Schizosaccharomyces pombe: one gene and its partner. The gene in region 2 interacts genetically with the main gene of each other region. Each region holds a gene or a part of one and is shown on either strand. Other genes may lie near its edges.

Region 1 (3,755 bases), 560 kb from region 2:
ATCGGAATAGGAAGGAGGACGGATGAGAATGACAAGCACCTAAAGTTGTACTGGTCGTTGAAAATAACCAATATTATTGATAGTAGATATTAAAATATTTAAATTTTGGAAAAAGCAGTTCATTATGAGGAATTGTTTGAATTTTTATAAGGTGCCTTTATAGATTTTATTAAACTAGATATCACACTAAATTTGCAAAATATATACAAAATTTATATTATTAAAATGATCACTGTTTCAAATGTCTTTAATCATTTCAAGCGAAAGCTTTCAAAAGCAAATTATATAAAAAGTAATTGCGTCCAATAGTGTAATTTAGTCGATTCTCATAACTTTTTATGCTAATATGCCTTCAATATTCTCAAAGTATTTCAGATCTCTAAAAGTGTTTTCATTTAGGAAGAAGATTGAGCAAGTTTTTGGCGTTTTCGAGGCGAATCTTCCTTAAGCTTGGGTAGCTTTTTGACAATCTGTTTATACTCATCAAACTGATTTTCATAGGCGTTATGAATTTTTTCAATACGTTCGGACTTATCCAACTGTAGCAACACATCAAGATTTTGACGAAAAATCCTTTCCTTTATTCCTAGTCTAACAGATTTCCGCTCCAATAATGAAAGCTTTTTTAGTTTCGTTGTAAATGCTAATTCACAACAGCGTGAGAATTGACGCTAAAAAAAGACAATTAGTAAGTTGCATTGCATGGTAAATTTAGCAAATTACGAACCTGGGTTAACTTTGTTTCAGCTATTTTCGAGTTTATCCACTGCCTAGAAAGAGAGGGATGAAAGTCAGGTTCTGAAAATATTCCCATTGATAATAATCTTTTATAGTCGCAATGGTCTCTAAGGCTATCAAACGCTTCCGATGCATCCTCAACTGTGAAGTCTAAAATTTTAGGATTTTTCAAAAAGGTACTAACAATAGCATTGTACAATTGCGAACCGTGTCCTTGATGTTGAAAAGGGGGTAAAATCACGAATTGTGAGATACGAGCTCGAATACCATCGTGAATTAATTTGTCCCATTTATAATATTTGTATACAGTACAATAACCACGTAAGCAATAATCATCTTCAGTAGTCTCGTAACTTATTTTTGTTAATAAAACCTCGATAAAAAGGTAAAAGGAAAGTAGACGCGTAGAAAATAACAAACTTACAGTAAATATACCATCCATCTTGGATCATTAAGGTCAATAAAAGAGCCCCCTTCAATAAAAAATAAGGAAAATATTTGCAAATGCTGCATAATCTCACTAGCTTCAAGAACCGTTGCCTATTAATACATTACGATTATTAGCCAAAGAACATATAGGGATATTCAATAATTGAATACTTCTCCAATTGAAAGGTAATCGAACATACTTGTAAAATCTTGAATGTTTTTCCATTAAAGGAATAGTTATGAATACTATTTGCCGAATGAACGTCAAATGAGTTTCCTTCAACCTTAATGGAACGATCTTTTAGATAAGTGTTTAATGTTCCTTCAATATCAGTTGGTTCCACTCCTGAATCTGGTGCTAGGCGCTCTGAATATGAGATTTCCAGTTTTGGGACCATCAATGGGCATTCATAGGTTATCTAATAACTGTTACTATTTGCAATCAAATTTCATGACTAAAACTTGCTGATTTAATCTTACAGTGACATTTAGATCTTTATATCCATAAATAACCTCAGCATCTCCAAATATTGCATATGTATTGCTAGGATGGTATTGACAATCTTTTTCATGCTTTTCGTTTACTGACAGGTGTTAACACAAGGTAAAAACATTATAATTTAACATAGCATACCTTGTACAATTTCTATGCATTCATTGGCATTATGTACCCATTCATCAACAGCACTCATCACTGCATACGGAAAATTGAATACCTGACCCTATTTCAAGTCAAACAACAAAAAATACATGTGTCTAGTTGGAAGTAACAAACTACAAGGCGACGCAAAATTTCACGTGCTACACCTGTTATTATTAAAAAATATTTACTATTATATAGATTTCTAGCTCCAGTATTGCCAATTTTAGAACCTACAATTCTTTATAACTTTTCAGATTGCTCAGAACAATAACTACAAGTATAGATTTTCTGACACAACAATCCATTCTTCATCGATGACCCACGATGTTCAGGTATTAAATTTTTTTGATATCATTAAACTAAAATACGATTTGTATCGCAAACATGTAAAACAGTCATAACATCAGGATTTTTTAGTCATTAACCAAAAGAGGACATCATTGCTTGTTCAATAATATGCAGCTTTCTAAAGCGAAAATCCTTAAAGAGTCTTGAGATTGATTTCCTTAACCACCATAAATTCTTGAACGCCCAAACGACCGGCTTCCTTGCCAAAACCGCTCTGTTTGATGCCGCCAAAGGAAATAAATGGTTCGTCAACCATTTCGATATTGGCACCTACAAGACCCACCTCTAGTTCTTTGGCAACGTGGATCATTGTGGACAAGTTATTGGTAAAGACGTAACCGGCCAAGCCAACATCACTGTCGTTAGCCCATTCGATCACCTCTTCGGTGTCGTCGAACTTGAAGACAGAGGCGAGTGGGCCGAATGTTTCCTCGCTAGCAACCAACATGTCTTGAGTTACACCGGAGAGCACGGTTGGTTCAAAAAAATAACCTTTGCTTGAGGAAATCTCCTTTCCACCAACAGTGATTTTGGCACCCTTTGAAACAGCATCTTCAATGTGCTTGCTGACCTTTTTGCATCCATCTTGAGAAATCAAAGGGCCAACAGCAGAAGAAGAGTCAAATCCATCTCCTACTTTAATGGTCTTGACTTTTTCGGTAAGCTTGCTGACGAATTCGTCGTAAACATTCTTGTGAACGTAAACTCTGTTAGGGCAGACACAAACTTGACCACAAGAGTTAAACTTGATAGTGCAGAAAGATTCGACAGCCTGATCAATGGGGAAGTCAGGGAATACAATGAAAGGGGCATTACCTCCTAACTCCATTGAAACCTTCTTGATTGTGCTGGCACTTTGTCCCATAAGAATTTTACCGACATTAGTACTACCAGTGAAGGAAACCTTACGAACGATAGGGTTGGTAGTCAGTTCTTTACCATGAGCAGATGCATCAGAAGAAGTGATCACATTTAAGACACCGTCAGGGAAACCGGCCTCTTGCGCCAACCTGACTAAACCTAAGCAAACGTAGGGAGTGCGGAAAGCAGGCAAGAAAATAGCGGTACAACCAGCAGCCAAAGCGGCACCACCTTTACGAGCAATCATGGCGGCGGGGAAGTTCCAAGGAGTAATCAAGGCACTGACACCAACTGGCTGTTTGATGGAGATGAGAAAGTTTTGACTTTGTAAGCTGGAAGGAGCTACATCGCCAAAGGTACGAACGGCTTCAGCAGCATACCATTTAAGATATCCGCTACATGTGGTGACCTCCATCTCAGCTTGGCTCAAAGGCTTGCCGTTTTCTAAGGTAAGCATCTTGACCAAGTCGTCTTTGTTCTCCATAATAAGCTCTGCCCAGCGTTCCAATAACTGACTACGTTGGACATGAGTAAAATTTTTATAAGTTTTGAAGGCCTCGTTAGCGGCACTGATGGCTTTTTTTGTTTCCTCTACTGAGACATCGGCCACTTTACCGATTATTTCACCAGTAGCTGGGTTATCAACCTCAAAAGTTTTGTTGTTAGGAGAAGAAATCCATTTTCCTTGAACAAAAGATTGAGCATGAGACTTATCAAAGCCAAAGAGCTCAGGGCG
Region 2 (3,755 bases):
CTTTTTCTATCAGTGGTCTCTCGACTTTCGTTATTACAAAAGTAAGTACACATTCTTAGCAAGTTGTGGTTAGTTTTTATATTTACTGGTTCTTATTTACGTCCAACTCACCAAATTCTAGTATTACATACGTCCTCAATGGTTATACACATTGGCCCTTAGACGGGCACTCATAAAGCTTTATTACAATTTTATGGATGGATTCAATAAGCGGACTGATACATTACAACATCGGGTTGACGATAAAAAAATTTTAAAAACAATAGAAAAATGGAGTTGTATTAAAGAAAAATTGAGAAGAGTTGCCAATATAACTGAACAGGAGCAGCAGTGTATCCCGGCAGAAAGTTCGTTAGACCTGAGCATCCAGGCAATGAAAGGTGTCGTAAATGCAGAACTTTATCAGTTTGGAAGTCAAATTTCTGGATCTTTAGAATTTGATACTCCAATTGGCAATTTGCAGAAGCAAATTGTCTCTTTGAAGAGCAAAATGATTAATATCTGAATATTAAGGAACAACATAATAATTGCATGAATTCTCTGAATGCCTTATGTTGGTCCTACTGCATTCTATAGATAATAGTGTATTATATCTCAAAAAGAAAACGTATATATTTTAGATTACCGTTTTAGTTATCTTTGGGATAGATGCAAACGATCATAATTTTATACACCAACCAAAGATCTATAGTTTGGAGGGGCGTTTTGATATTCTTTAATAAAATATTCATCTTTATGTAGAACGAGATACCTAAATAAATGGTTAGTATAGTAGGGGAGTTTAAAAGCAGTAAACATACTTCAAGAATTCTTCAATGTAATTCAACAAACACTCGATGGATTGTGAATCCATATTAGTCCGGTCAATCAATTCAGGAAGGCTTACAAACAAGCGAATTAAATGTTCGACGCCATATAAATCACACATTTCAGTATCAGGATATTGCTGCCGAATTTCTAAATATTGCTGCCGTTCAAACCGATACAGCAGCATATTGCCCAAGCACTTATTAAAGTATATAACCAAACCAGCCATCGCTTGTTCAAAAACATCAACGTCTATTTCATTGTTCAAATGAGAAATCTTGGATTCTCGGAAGGCCGCTATAGCAGCCCGGACGGTGGGATTCCGCGGTATAGCTATTAACTGTTGATTTTTGGTAATGTTTTCCCAGTCATCAACAAGCCATAGCTTTAGAACGTCCGGGACACTAATCTTGTGTTTTGGAAGCGGTGGCTCTTCCTCAAAATCGTCTTTCTCGTTATTCTCGGGCTTAGTAGTTTCCTCGTTTTTAGCATCGGTTGTTCCATCGCGTTTCACTTGTTGAGGAATTGGAGACTCTGATTTTTGGGTTTTTATACGTGAAGGCAATTCATGTGAATCGCCATCAACCGTTACGGTGCTCGATTCTCGAGACCTCTTTCCTGATGTTTTAACTCCAGTTGAGTCATGTTTCGAAGTGCTGGATGCGGACTTTTTAGAAGTCGGTTTTTGTCTCGTAGAGATAGCGGCATTTTTTAACTCTTTCTGAGTCTTTAAATTTTCTTCTGTCCATTGTAGTATCCTATCTTGTTCAACCCATTCATCCCAACTGTTTTTCCATCCTTTATAATGAATCAGGTACGTGGTAACATCACCTTTCATTTCAGTATCAACAATTTTAGCCTCATAGAGTAACGGGCCGTGAAAGCATAGTACACGTTCATTCACCTTATATGACACGGCCATTCCAACAACGTTGTAGGTATGGTGGTGAGTTAGAAGTAAGAGGACGTGTGCCAAAACAGTACACTTAGCAAATTTATCCTACTTTGAAGGAGTTAGCTATTTTGTTTTAAAAATTATCTAGACCCATTAACAAACGGTGGGTGTAACAGGATACTATCTAAGCAACAAATTCATTCATCTGCAAAATGCTTGGAGAAAGTGCTATCAGTAAGTTACTGTTTTAGGATTTTTAATGATAAATTAAAAATAAACTTTCATTATGTTCAGCAAATACGTCCCAATACGCATTATAAAAAATGCTTTAGTCAAAAGGATACTTTAGGAAAAATTAGCTTTTCTACATGAGTTTTCATCAAATGCTGCGTTTCATTTATTCAATTTACTAATATCTCAAAGGTTGCTCATGAATATGGAGGAACAAATACTTAATGATTATCTTCTTTCTCAAGGGCGGTTGCAGTCTATTATAAGCTTAGAACAATGGCGGCAACTGTTTCCTCAGAGATACAGAGAAGACCCACTGATTGAGCGTTTATACGAATACTGTACACAACAAAGACAAAAGCGATTAGCAAAATTGAGAGCTAACATCCATCTCGAGAGTCAAGTTATCGGCAAAAGCAGAATAGATAGGATGTTGGCAACAAATGTTGAGAAACTGCAAACGGTCAGTCATGCCTCTACATTGCACGATGTAGAAGAATTTTACACATCACATAGTGCAAAACCGCTGGACATAAGTGAAATCAATGAGCGGCTTTCTGAAGCTGTGCAATCTGCTTATACAAAATTAAATGAGGAAAAAGAGCGCTGCACACAATTGACTCTTAAAATGAATAGGTATGAGGTTGATTAGGAATTTGGGTTGTTTTAATTGAGCTTTATTTAGCTTGCTAATAATTTCTTTCTAGTCAGATTGCATCCCTTAGCGATTTTCAATGGTCAAAAGAGCCAAACGTTGACGAGTCAATTCATCTTGTAGAATCTTTAATTGAAAGTTTAGAAAAGGCAGCACCTTCTGCAATAGAAGAATTAGACTAGGACCTTCAAACGTTAAGCTGTTCCATATTTATTCAATAATATAGCTTTAACGGGTATTTATTACAATGAATGAATTTTTTTTTCTTTTTAATAATTAAATATAACGTTATTCTGCACCTTTTTAATAAGATATATCTGTTCCTTTATAAACTCATTTCATTAAAACCTGTTCAAAGTAATGCGAATATATTTTCTTCAAAAGCATGCAGTATTTGTTCCATTTGACAAACTACATTTTAATAGAGTGATTAAAATCAGTTATCACTAACTTGTCGTAGCACGCATCCGAACCATGACTAACACAGTATAAAAGATGGAGCAAAATTTGCAAACATAGTTTGTAACACTTTCGCCAAATTCTTGATTAAATTAGGATAATATTCAATTTTCATTTTTCTTAGCATAGAAAGATTGAACTGTCAAATTTTTGGTGTCCGCAACATAATCTGGCATTTCTAGGATTTTGTTTACTTACTTGACTTCTATATAAGAACTTTTATACCAAACATGAAACGTCAAATTGACTATTCTTTATACCTTGTAACTAGCTCTAGTTTAATTGCCCCAGGTTCTACTATAGAACGTCAGGTGGAAGAGGGAATTTTGGGAGGTGTCACGCTTGTTCAGCACAGAGAAAAAGACATCTCTACTAAATGCTTTGTAGAACGTGCTAAACGACTTTCTGAAATTTGCAAAAAGTACGACGTGCCTTTTCTAATTAATGATAGGATTGACGTGGCATTAGCTGTTGGCGCTGACGGTGTTCATATTGGTCAAGACGACATGGATTGTGCATTAGCCAGAAAAATTCTTGGCGATGATGCTATTATTGGAGTGTCCACTAATAATATCGAGGAAATTGAAAAAGCAGCTGCTGATGGGGCCGATTATGTGGGTATCGGTTCTATTTACGAGACAAACACTAAAGATGTCAAAGACAGGTTAATAGGAATCACAGGTCTGCGAAAAATTCTTGAACATGTTT

Evidence for each region. A genetic interaction does not mean that the proteins touch.
Region 1: of alp13 (region 2) and hat1, changing one enhances a phenotype caused by changing the other (phenotypic enhancement), as found in Schizosaccharomyces pombe (2 studies listed by BioGRID, with this or other methods).

The regions. Positions count from the first base shown.
Region 1 is NC_003424.3:1,028,334-1,032,088, reverse strand, and holds hat1 (histone acetyltransferase Hat1), read right to left. Parts: upstream 1,870-3,755; 5' UTR 1,860-1,869; coding exon 1,802-1,859; exon of another isoform or gene 1,752-1,801; coding exon 1,648-1,751; exon of another isoform or gene 1,587-1,647; coding exon 1,368-1,586; intron 1,279-1,367; coding exon 1,163-1,278; intron 1,092-1,162; coding exon 728-1,091; intron 672-727; coding exon 396-671; 3' UTR 148-395; downstream 1-147. Other genes in the region: ssd2 (succinate-semialdehyde dehydrogenase), read right to left, coding at 2,292-3,755. UniProt on the Schizosaccharomyces pombe protein: Catalytic component of the histone acetylase B (HAT-B) complex. Acetylates 'Lys-12' of histone H4 which is required for telomeric silencing. Has intrinsic substrate specificity that modifies lysine in recognition sequence GXGKXG.
Region 2 is NC_003424.3:1,586,823-1,590,577, forward strand, and holds alp13 (Clr6 histone deacetylase complex, chromodomain subunit Alp13/Eaf3), read right to left. Parts: upstream 1,756-3,755; 5' UTR 1,730-1,755; coding exon 801-1,729; intron 752-800; coding exon 667-751; 3' UTR 506-666; downstream 1-505. Other genes in the region: SPOM_SPAC23H4.13C (uncharacterized protein), read left to right, coding at 1-41, 122-505; centromere localized protein Cnl2, read left to right, coding at 2,133-2,569, 2,641-2,770; thi4 (bifunctional thiamine-phosphate dipyrophosphorylase/hydroxyethylthiazole kinase), read left to right, coding at 3,278-3,755.